Caenorhabditis elegans: one gene and its partner. The protein of the gene in region 2 interacts with the protein of the main gene of each other region in a pairwise test. Each region holds a gene or a part of one and is shown on either strand. Other genes may lie near its edges.

What was found. The genes of interacting proteins can lie anywhere in the genome.
Region 1: the proteins of rnf-113 (region 2) and gst-41 interact in a two-hybrid assay, tested with the Caenorhabditis elegans proteins (one large-scale study listed by BioGRID).

The regions. Positions count from the first base shown.
Region 1 is NC_003283.11:7,396,559-7,402,289, forward strand, and holds gst-41 (glutathione transferase), read right to left. Parts: upstream 2,745-5,731; 5' UTR 2,731-2,744; coding exon 2,694-2,730; intron 2,597-2,693; coding exon 2,402-2,596; intron 2,359-2,401; coding exon 1,958-2,358; 3' UTR 1,838-1,957; downstream 1-1,837. Other genes in the region: cnc-9 (CaeNaCin (Caenorhabditis bacteriocin)), read right to left, coding at 3,346-3,527, 3,573-3,627; srx-60 (G-protein coupled receptors family 1 profile domain-containing protein), read left to right, coding at 4,330-4,368, 4,414-4,574, 4,618-4,838, 5,061-5,233, 5,279-5,460, 5,508-5,634.
Region 2 is NC_003281.10:10,754,354-10,760,837, reverse strand, and holds rnf-113 (putative E3 ubiquitin-protein ligase rnf113), read left to right. Parts: upstream 1-3,197; 5' UTR 3,198-3,200; coding exon 3,201-3,338; intron 3,339-3,401; coding exon 3,402-4,134; intron 4,135-4,856; coding exon 4,857-5,140; 3' UTR 5,141-5,214; downstream 5,215-6,484. Other genes in the region: tasp-1 (TASPase homolog), read right to left, coding at 364-494, 547-695, 747-850, 904-986, 1,038-1,071; K01G5.10 (Haloacid dehalogenase-like hydrolase domain-containing protein 3), read left to right, coding at 2,320-2,607, 2,654-2,752, 2,803-3,162; Chromobox protein homolog hpl-2, read left to right, coding at 5,328-5,369, 5,644-5,817, 6,085-6,323. UniProt on the Caenorhabditis elegans protein: May function as E3 ubiquitin-protein ligase that catalyzes the transfer of ubiquitin onto target proteins.

The DNA of each region.
Region 1 (5,731 bases), on a different chromosome or scaffold from region 2:
CGCGAAATTACTTCACAAACTGTATTGAAATACATGTTTTTCATGTTACTTGAATAAGGCAAAAAGTGTACTGAAATACACTTTTTAATTTCACGACACTACTTGAATAACCCCATAAAACAATACAGTTTCAAAATAAACGTTGTCCATTTCCTTTTTCTTCATTTTTTTTTGTTTTTTTCGTGTCGATTTTTTTAAAAGTTTTTATGTACTGAACAACCACAACTAAAATGCATAACCTTTCAGTGAATAAACGTTTGCTCCAAATTTTAATAAAAGTTTTGACTTTTGATTATGAACCAGTGTGTTAATTTTTTTGGAAAACGTGCTGACTTAACTTGAAAACAAAGTGGGATATAAAGAAGACATGTATTTTTTTGGTGTATTCATTACAGTTACAGCAATTGGTCGCGCATTTATAACAATATTCTTTTGCACAAAATTACTGCTAGACATATTTTGGTAGCCACTGCCCATATCAACATTTTTCCATCATTTAAAAATCTATTTTCAGGTTTAAAAAACTCAAGAAATCACATGATTTGACCCTTTTCTATTTTCGATTTTTGTTGGACATAGTATTCAGTACTATAAGTATGTGCAAAGCTTTTATTAAAAAATCATCGAAACTCTTTCAGTTATATTTTTTCTTGGTTCAATTTTGATTACTATGGCCAAATTCCAAGAGCTCTCCCATATTGTAGAAATTTCAATGTTTTTCATATTCTGGGCAAGATATATAACAGGATCTACTAGATCCATTCTGGCTCTTTTAATTGCAACTGATAGAACATGGGTTAGTTGTAAAGGATATTTACTCCGGAGTTCCCAGTAGTAACAGGTTCATTTTGGAGTGGCGCTCTCTCTTTTAGGTCTCAGTAGATCTCGCCAATCCAAAATGAAGCCGCGATTCCAAAATGAACCTATTACTACTGTTCCCCATGTCACTTGTTTTCAGTTTTTTTTTTGTATTTTTTGAAACGAAAATCTGCATTAGAAAAGTATAAATTATTCTTTCAGGCCGCGTATTTCCCTGTTTGGTTTTTCAATTATCGAAATTATATTTGAAGCAAGTTCATCATTATCATCGTCTTCATATATCCTTTCATAGATGGATCAGTGCTATTTATCTATTGTCAAAATGCCATAGAAATTTCTCCGGGATGCAAAAATGCAGCATGTGTTATGTCTGATTGTTACTTGCTTTATTGGCTGGCTTACGAAAAAGTTATTAAAGTTTTTCATGACAAGAAAAAACGAAATTATTGCAGATTGTGTACACTATAATCATCGTTTTGTCGTTGTTATTGTCTTTAAAATTATACGTCTGGAACAGGTATAAAAACGTGACAATCAGCTGGGAGATTAAAAGAGTATGTTCTTAAGCTTATGAAATTGCATAAAAAAATAAGTATTTTCAGGTAAATCGTCTTGCCTTAATTGACACATGCACAAATCTAATATTTGGATTGATACCGCCATTTCTTGTAACATATACTCGCAGCACGTTTGATCATGCAGGGCCCTTAAATACGTCACTAAAGATTTTGGGATATTCTTTAGAGTCTTATCTGGTTTCTGTGAATTTAAGAAAAAATAGAATTACAAATAACGCGCAACAGAGTGGAATGTTTGCTGATTCCAATTAGTTTGTGCAAGGCTCGAAATTGATTCTTTTTAAATCTTAAATAAAGTTTTTGAATCTCAAAAATTCGACTATCGGCGGTTTGTAGATTTTTTCAATCAACTGTTTGAAAAATTTCAATGGTAATTGTTAGGACTATTTTTGGATTATGTAGTTGAAAATTTCATAAGAAAACTCCAATGGCGTATGAAATTGTTCAAAATTATTCTTTATTTTCTCACTATCAGAAAATTTGAGCTCAGAAAGCTTGTCAAAAAGTATCGAGACCCATTTTTTGGGAATTTAATCACAGAAAGGAAAAAAAAAACATTATCAATTCATTCCCTTTTCAACGGCACTGATCCAAACATTGTCTTTGGTTCGTTTCTCGAGATAAGGCTTCAAGTTTGGTCTTTGCCACATCCGCTCCCAAAATGCCTTCAAAGCTGGAAACTTGTCCAAAATCTTTCCATCCAAAACGTGATAGATATCTAATTCTTCAAAGAGTATATAGTCGGTGTAACTAAGTTTGTTGCCAATAATAAAGTCTCCGGGGTGAATTTCAAATTGGCATTCCAATCTTTCCAAAGATTCTGGAAGGGTCTTGTTGACCATGTCTTCACGACTTCCCTCGTCAAAATAAACGTAACGAATATATTTCAAACGAACATCACGAATCGCATCAAAAAGCATATCTAGAAAAGTCGCTTCTTGTTCATTGGATCCGTTCAGCTCTGCAAATCTATTTTAACAGTTGCACACAACAAATAAACCAACTATGAACTCTTCCCAGGTGTCGCATAATTGCTCCAGCTTGCACAATTTCTTGCCCATCAACTTTATAACATGGAACTTGCCCGAACTTCATTGTTTTCTTAAGCTCTGCCCATTCGTTGCTTTGCCATGGGAAGCGAATATCTTCAAATTTGATACCATTATCAATTAGTAGAAGACGGATGTACTCCCCATATCCTGAAATAATTATCATAAATATTCCAAGCAAAAAAACAACGGCTGTCTGATTGGCTTCAAGACAACTCACGACTAAAATAATAAAATAAAAACTTACCGCGGATTGAAAAATAGTATAGTTTTGGCACTGTCATTGCCTTCTCTTAATGTTTTCTCGATCATTGCATGGGCTTTTATACGGTTTTTCTGATTGTAATTGTTTGGCCATGCGAATTTAGTTAACTTTCGCAGATTAAAAGAACGGAAACAAGTTTGGCCTGTCAAAATAAACACTCAAAGTAAATTTCAAATTTGATGTAAACAATTAGTGCAGTGGTGCGATGAAAAAACTAATGAGTTTTTGGAGATCCAAGTTCTTGTAGATTGTTCTGTTTGAGTAAATAAGTTGTTTGTGCGAACTTTTTAATGATTAACTGAAGTTTATTGCCGTTAAAAGTCCAAATACATTGAAAGTTGTGTAAATCTGAAAAAACGACCGAATTATCACAAAAAAAAGTTAAATTTTCATGTAAATTCTTTTAAGTTCTATCCGGTTAAAAACTTTTTGTGAAATGAAAATAGATGTTATGCTAAACTCTTTGTATCAAAATAAAAAGGTGACAAAAACACCGTATCTGTAACTGATTTTTCAAAAAAATTTATTTAGTTCAAACTCGAAAAAAAAACCAATTCTGATGCTACGAGATCTAATATTGCATGTTGAAAATTAAATTAAACATTATTGAGAAATTACATGTGAATTTAAACAATTATTTCCCCAAAAGCATTCCAATGAGTCCAGGTCGATACATTGGACCATAGCCACCGTAGCCTCCATACCCTCCATATGGACTGTAACCTCCATACATTCCTGGATGCCCATAGTTCTGATAGCCCCCATATGGATATCCACCATATCCACCATAAGGGTATCCACCTCCATAGTAACCGCCTAAATTTTTTACATTTTTCTGAAATAAGAAAAAAATCAAATTACCGTATTGCGCAAAAGACACAGAGAGTAAAGCTAGTAATACAAAGAAGCGGATCATGATGAACGAAATCTGTTAGATTACTAAACTAGCGGCTTATATACATGACATGGTTTATTGGTCAGTTTGACGAACAGGACGTTATCTGGTTAAGCTGCCAGAAGGAGACGATTGTTAATCATTTGACTTGTTTGTGACTTGTTGGTGTCCACCTATGTAGTTGATGATGACATACATCTGAACTTCGGATTAATATGGAAAAATTGTTACTGTCGCGGGCTAATAAGAGAGATCATGATCAACTAGATATTAGTTGGTGCTAACTGGGATGTACTGTAAAATGTTCACTATCGGGAACATTTTTCGAATTCGTTTTTTTATTGATGCGTTCACTTTCGCAGTACAAATATTAAGATTTCAACATTTCTAACTATTTCATACTACATACATAGGAAATAGAACCAATAGACAAGAAATTTGAAGAATATCACCAAAATCTACGTTGACAATGCTCTGCTGCGATTTTATAAACTTTCAGAGTGGCACCTACAATAATTCCTTCTACTGTAAATTCACAGAGGGCTATACAAAAATGAAATATCCAATGCCCGATTGTTCAGAAAAAATTATTGTTTGTTATGTCAGTTTCATAAATTTTGAAATCCCTCAAGACTAATTACTATGAAAAATATCACAACTCCCTTATATTTTATGTCAGCCTGAAAATATTACTATACAAATTGTAATATCGTATCATTTAGTATGAATGCTGAAAATCAAACTACTTTTGCATTAATACCAGTAAGTAGATCTTTGTGACTGTCTGAATAAAAAACTGAATTAAAGATAACATTCATTGGATCAGTTTTAAATTTCTCTATTTTAATTGCCATTTATAAACTTCCGGCATTGAATAACTCATTTGGATACCTCACTGCAAATCAAGCAATTGTAGATGCCCTTCATTCGGTTATTTTCTTGCTATACTTTTGCCCAATGGTCATTTTGTGAGTCAAATTATCACAAAAATTGAGGAAACATTAAATTAAGGGACCAACCAATAATGAAGAGTTACTCGTTTATCGTGGGATGTTTCCTTCTTTTCTGTTATGAACTTTCAGTTTTAACACATTTTTTGATATCTATCAATAGATTTTGCGCTGTTTGGGTACCACTCAAATACGAAAAATGGTTCAGCAGAAAGAATACATCAAGCATCATTATCCTGTTGTGGATTTTTGAAGTGGCTCTAGCAATTGTTTTTTACCAGAGTAAGTTATAAATGTCGAGGTTCATACGGAATAGGATAACCCGTCTTGAAAAAGATATACTTGCTATAATAAAGTTATCTTTTTTTTCGAGCTTACTGATGAAATTCAGAGTATAAAGCCATTTCTGAATACTTTAGCTTTGAGAAGCATACAAGACAAATATGAAAATTTAGCTAAAATTCATGCTAAAAAAAGAAAATAATAATAATAAATGTTCAATAGTTCTCTGCCACGTGGCTTACTTGGAAGAGATTCATTTTATTCAATTTACTAACACTAAATTCTGTGGCTTTGTTGCTTGGTATGATGATTTTGTGAAAAATTCTGTAATTATCGCAATAGTTGTTTGTGTGGATATTTCAACTGTTCTTCGCGTTCATCATGTAACCAAAAAGGTTTTACTTTCCTCGAAAATTTTTAACAATATAATTATTTTTCAGGTACGTGGCGACAACAAATTCACGCTTCGAGATTTGCGATTCCTGAGACAATCGGTTTTTCAAGGAACCGTATTTCTTCTAGAGTTAGTAACATATTTCTTCATCCCACAGTATTTTCACAATCAGTGGATCATTTTTCTTGGAACTTCTTTCATGTGGGTTTCAATTCATGCAATCGATGGGTGAGCTCAAAAAACAATTAAAAAACCGGGCAATTATCAATTTAAAGAATGATCGTCGTCATGTGCAACCCGGAAGTACGAAATTTTTTGATGGGTCGCAAGAATGTTTACCAAATCACTGGTCCGCAAAACACGACAGTACCTGAAAGAACACGTGAAATGAGCAACATATAATTTAATGCGTCATAACTAAATTTCAAAAACATTATTTCAAACTTTAACAATAAATGTGTCACTAATCCCGTTTGTTTTATGCTAACAGTTATTATAG
Region 2 (6,484 bases):
AGAATTTAACGGAAAATACGAATTTTTCATTTTGAAAAATCGGACTTTTTGGTCAAAAAGTAGTTAAAAATATATTTTTCGGATTATTCTTGGAGTTTAATAGAAGAAATGCTAATTTTCGACTAAAAAAACGGTTTTTGTGGACAATTAGGCAAAATCTGAGTCAAAAGGGCGGAATTTGCATTGAAATTCGGTTTTTTCTAGCAAAATATTAATGAAAATGCCATTTTTTCGAAAAAGGCTTTTTTTTTCGGGAACTCTGAAATTTCTTGGGATCTGATAGAAGAAATGCGCTAATTTTTCATATTTTGAACACATTTCCCTGAGAAAAGGAACCAATCTCGAATTTTCCTTCATCCTTACATTGGTATTAATTGAAATAGCTCCTACAGTGTCATGTGTATCATATGGATGAAGCATTCGATGTAAATACTTCTCAAAGCTCTCTTTCGCCGCTTTTGATACGAGTTCTTCAGGTGTACACGTTGGAAAATCTGAAAATCCAATGATTTTTCGAGATTTAAAATTCAAAATTCAGAAATTTACCATTTTTAACAGCATATTTCTCTGCTCCACGACCAACAAGAATAAGGGGATGAAGAAGACGTCGCTGCTTCCACCAATTGCTATGTGCAAGGTGACGTGCCACTCGGGACGGATGGAAAACGTTGGAAATCGCGCCGACCGCGCCGAAACTGAATTTGAAAATAATCGGTAAGGGAGAAATGTATGGTTTTTAGGGAAACCTTAAATTTTTGGATGACATATATGATGCTTCACATTCAACTTCTTGATCGATAGTCAAATGTGAGCCGAATCCACAGTTGAACTTTTCTATTCTTTCAAGATCCTGCAAAAAAAATTAAATATATTTCGTGAGAAAACCAAAAAAGAATTCCTCACCGTCAACGCATTCTCAACAGTGCCTGTACCACACGCAAAACGGCAGTCCTCGGCAAGACTTGCGTCGAATTTAGCACACGCACCTGCAAGATTTAAATTTTGCCGCAAAAAATCGATAATTAGTGTGCGCAAACCTCCGTGCACCGCGATTATCTCGCAGTTGCTCATTTTTTGAGGTTTTCTTCGAGTAGAACTCCACTGAATCGATGTTTCAGAAGGATTTTATTATCTCCGGCCACCAGGACGGGAATGTCGTATTTGAATTTCTGAAAATTAGGAATTTAAACTACCTATTTTTAAATTTTCTGTATTTATATTTTTATTAAATGAGAAAATAGAATACAAAACAAAAAAAACGTAGACGTAGAAGAAAGTCTCACTTCAATTAGCTCTGGCGATTCTTGGGCGAGATTTTTCTCGACGACAACAATCCCGGGATGCTTTTTAAGATAGTTTTTGAGTTGTCTGTGAAAATGTACGCACAGCGAGCAGTTTTGCGATGAGAAAAGCACGAGTTCGACGGGTTTGGACGAGGAGAAGGAGCGCTGCAAAGCACGAGGAAATGTGATCATTTGAATTGGCGTCAAAATCACATGGTAAAACTAGGCCGCGCATGACCTGAGCACGAGACACTCTCTCGGCCATTTTCAAGTTGGCGCGCTGTGTCACACACTCCGGTGGAGCGTGTTGTGGCGGAGTGTATGAGAAGTGTGCGAGTGGTTTGCGTTCGGCGCACTCCGCCCACTTTTTCCGTGCCGCACGCGGGTCTTTCGAATTTTATCGATTTTTTAAAAGTGTTTTTTTAGTTTATTTTTGTTTTTGACGAATTTATGAGGGATTTCTTGCGATTTTGGATTTTAAATAAAGAAATAGGTTTAAATATAAAAAATATCTTTAGATAAAGTATTCCTAATCGATGAAACAAGTGGAGTCAAGGAAATCTCTAGTTTTTCCTTCTAAATACTCGAAGCAAGCCAAAATGAACGAATTTTGTGATAAGATTTCTTTTAAATTGTTCAAAAATTGTTATTCTGTTCAAAATCAGGTGTTGGAAATTAATTGATTTTGGCTGAGAAATCGTTATTTGGAGAGTTTGAACAGTAAATTGAACTCTTTTTTTTCTACAGAAATATCTCTGAAATTCGGATGCAAAAACCTTTTTTCTTTTAAGAAGCCTAGTGTTATCCCTATGCATCTCGAAAAACTTCTCAAAAATTCCTGATGTTTGAATTCGAAAAATCGATTTCCGATACTTCCAATATTATTTTCTACGAAATCGTCATTTAAATAGTTAAAATGCAGTATTTCCGTCGTTAAAATATTGTTTTCGGCCAATTTGGAGGAAAATTTTCAATCAACACACTAACCTTTTCTTTGGAAATCTAAAAAAAACTCTAGATTTCCATATTTAGCTCAATGCTCTCCAACCTGCTCCGTACAACTTCTCGTAACCTTTCCACCCCTCCAGTCGTGAAAGTTCTCTCCCTAGATGCTCGTGATACACTAATCACGATGAAAGAGTCTCCACCGATAGTTTATTCCCGTTTCGCGAGGCAATATGATTTGGAAGTCGACTCCGATCAAATCATGGGAAGCTTTCTTAAAAATTATAAACGAATGAGCATCGCATCGCCCTGCTTTGGGTTCAATGGAATTGGAAACAAAAGTTGGTGGATTGAAGTAGTTTCTTCTACGCTTTTGGATGTAGGTGTAATCTGAATTAGGCAAGTCCCCTACTTGATAGTTTCAGTGTGCTCCGGATTCTGAAAAAGGACGGGTTGAAGTGATCGCTGGAGCTTTGTACAATCACTATGCAACTCCTGAGCCGTGGAAACTAGTTGAAAGCGATGTAAATTTTGTGAATTGTTGAAAAAAAAATACTGCAATTTTTCATTTTAGACGCGCCAAACTCTGCAAAAACTTCGCCTGAAAGGAATCATCCTGGTTGTCATCTCCAATTTCGATAGTCGCTTGAAATCTCTACTTTCTCAATTCAATTTACTCGATCTTTTCTCCATGACAGTTCTCTCCGGCGAAATTGGGTACGAAAAGCCCGATGAGAAGATCTTCCAGCTAGTTGTCAACCATTTCGATCTAATTTCTCCCTCGGAAATCTTGCACATTGGAGACAATTTGAAAAATGATTTCCATGGCGCCAAAAATTTCGGCTGTAGAGCTCTATTGTTTGATTCATCTTCCTCTCATAATGTTGAACCGTTTTATTGTATTTCTCGTTTGTCAGATTTGAAGCTTTATTAATTAATTGAATTTAATAAATAGTTTTAATTTTTCAGATAATGGATCTCTTCCGAAAACCGAAAAAGCGCAATGCACCCGTCGTTCGTAAAAAGGAAAGCTCAAGTGATGAGGATCAAGATTCAGAAGTGAAGGATGTGATTCAAAAGCGACGTCGTACGAATCCGATGGTCCAGTCGGTGAGATCTTGGTACTTTAGTGCTCCAAAATTTTGGAAAATCCCAATAAACTTTGAAATTCAGACCAAACAACTAGACGCCTCAACACGACGTGCTGATAATTCATCGGATGATTCTGACGACTCTGACGACAATCAGGATATCGCAGTAGCAACTCACTCGTTCGCCGCTTCAGGAGATGCCGGTCCATCTGGACCACGTGATCAAGGTGCCACTGCAACACTCGAAGTGGACACAGACTATTCACACGATGCCCAGGCTCAATTCGAACGAGTCCAACAGCAACTGAAGGAAGGCGTCGAGAAAGACGGAAAAATTCTGTACAAGGGAAGTGCACTGTATGGAGCCAAAGAGGCGAAGGATACGGCCAAGGGAAACGCTGCAAGTGGTTATAATCGAGTTGGGCCCGTTCGGGCGCCACAATTTCTACGACAAACAGTCCGTTGGGATTTTGCACCGGATATTTGCAAGGATTACAAGGAGACTGGATTCTGTACGTTTGGAGATTCGTGTAAATTTGTGCACGACCGATCGGACTATAAACACGGATGGGAGATTGATGAGGAGTACGAAGCAGGAAAATATGGTGCTGAAGACGATGCGAATTACGAGATTCATGAAGGCGACGATACGTTTCCGGAGGATTGTTTTATTTGCGGAAATCCATTTGTTGATCCGATCGTGACAAAATGCAAGCACTACTTTTGCACCGGTTGTGCGTTGAAATCGTTCCAAAAGTCGTCAAAATGCCCAATATGTCAGCAGAATACTGAGAATATTATGAATACCGCAAAAGGTTTGAAATAGAACGATTAATTCGTGATTTTCGCAAGTTTTGGAAGGTTTTTCGGCGCAGTTTGATACTTACATGTTACGGAGGATACTGCACGTGGACAAGCGTGAATCTTTTTTCACATTTTTTGGACAATAATAAGACATTATAACTAGAAAGAGAGGAGGAGCCTAATTTCGCAACTCTGCGGCACGATTTTTCGACAATTTTCCACTGTTTTTTTTTTTGGTTTTTTTTCTGGTTTTTTTTTCCAAAAAACTTCGATTCTTCCTGTTTTATTTTTTTTTACGAGAAAAAAATCAAATTTAATTCGCATAACATTTCGATTATAGTTCATATTTTTACAACCAATTTAGCTTGAAATATCCTCCCAATCTAATGTGAATTAAAAGGAATAAAATCGAAACTTTTATGGAAAAACCCCAAAAAAGAAAAAGGAAAACCGTGCCGCATGGTTGCAAAATTGGTTGCAAAATTACGTTCCGCCTCTTTTTCTGCTTTTTGGAAAACTCATTTCTTTGGTAATTTGGAATGTTGGAAGAGAATCAGCGAAAATAGTTCAAAAAAGTAAATTTCAGCCAATAACTCACAGTTGTCCGGGTGAAGTACAAAATCCTTCGTAAATTTACATGCAACAAACCGCGCTTTTAATCCAAAACTTGCGAAATTCACAAGATAGTAGCTCGAAAAATGTGGCAAAAAAAAATTAATTTTTAAATTTTCAGAGCTCCTAACCTACCTGAAACGGAAGAAGCAACAACAGAAGCAAGAAGCCGAGAAACAGGAAGAAGAAAAAGATAGTGACGATGATGAAAAACCACACGAATGCGACGATCACCATCATCATGATCACGAAGATGAGCCCGAGGAGCCTGAAAACGACTCAAATGTTCCAGAAGCCGAGGAGAAGAGCGATGAGGAACAGGAGATTATGATGGAGGATGTGGAAGGGCTTGAAGGTGGAGAAAATGACTCTGAGAGTGATGATGATGATGCTGAAAAAGATTGATAATTTTTATTTTTTTTTTAAATATTTCTGTACGGTGATTGTCTGTGAGTAAACTAAATATGATTTTTTTTCTTGTTCGAGCCTTTTTTTAATTTCAAGATATTGTTCGAATCTTTATTCCATATTTTTTCTATGTTTTTTCAGATTTCTCCCATTTTAGCTCAAATTTATTTCAGCAATTTCAAAAATGTCGAGCAAATCAACAAAGCGAGCAAAAATCGAAGATCCGGTATGGAACGGCGAAAAAACCAAAAAATCTATTTTTACAACAAAAAAAACTAAAAAATACAATTTTGCAACGAAAAAAAACCAAAAAACAGTCCATTTTGCAAAAAAACAATAAATCAATTTTTGCACTAAAAAAAATATTTTAAAAAAACAATTTTGCAACAAAAAATCTATTTTTGCATAAAAAATCCAATTTTGCTAGAAACAAAGCGACAGTATAAGTTCCCCGACAAAGAAAAAAAAAGTCACATTTTATTCAAAAATCTGATTTCCAGAAGGACAACGTGTTCATGGTGGAAAAAGTGCTGGACAAGCGAACTGGAAAAGCCGGCAGAGACGAATTTCTCATACAGTGGCAAGGATTCCCCGAGTCTGACTCTAGCTGGGAGCCGAGAGAGAATCTCCAGTGCGTCGAGATGTTGGACGAGTTTGAGAGGGAATTTTCAAAGGTTTTGAAGAATTTTTTAAAGTTTATTTTACTTGAAATGGTCCTAAAAAGCGAATTTCATAGTGAAAATTGTTTGAAAAATCTTCGATTTTGCCCACTTTTCCGTGCTGCAACTGTTTAAATTAGATTTTTGTTCGATTATTCTCCTATTTTCACACGGAAAAGCTGGTAAACTTGAAGATTTTAACTAAAATTAGGTTTTTTAGAGTTAAAATTACAAAGTCATAAAATCCGATTTTTCTGCAACAAACTTATTTTATTTTTACAGAGAGAGAAACCAATTCGCAAACGACACAGCCAGAAGCCCGAACCTTCCGAAGATCAAGCGGATCCAGAAGAGGATAAAGATGAAAAGAAGGAAACGAATCAAAATGACAAATTCTCACTGGAAGGCAAGCAGTTAAAATGCATTGTCGGGCTCACCAAGGGACCTGGGGAACTTCATTTTCTGTGCAAATTCAGTGATGACACGGCACGGCTTCTTCCAGCGAAGGAGGTGAACAGTCGGTGAGTTTGGGAATTGCTCCCGGTTGATTAAAAGTGTATTACGGAAACACTCCACCCAAAAACTTTAAAAGTATCCGAAAAAAAATATTACGGGAACACAAAATTCTGAGAATGCGTATTGCGCAACATATTTGACGCGCAAAATATCTCGTAGCGAAAAC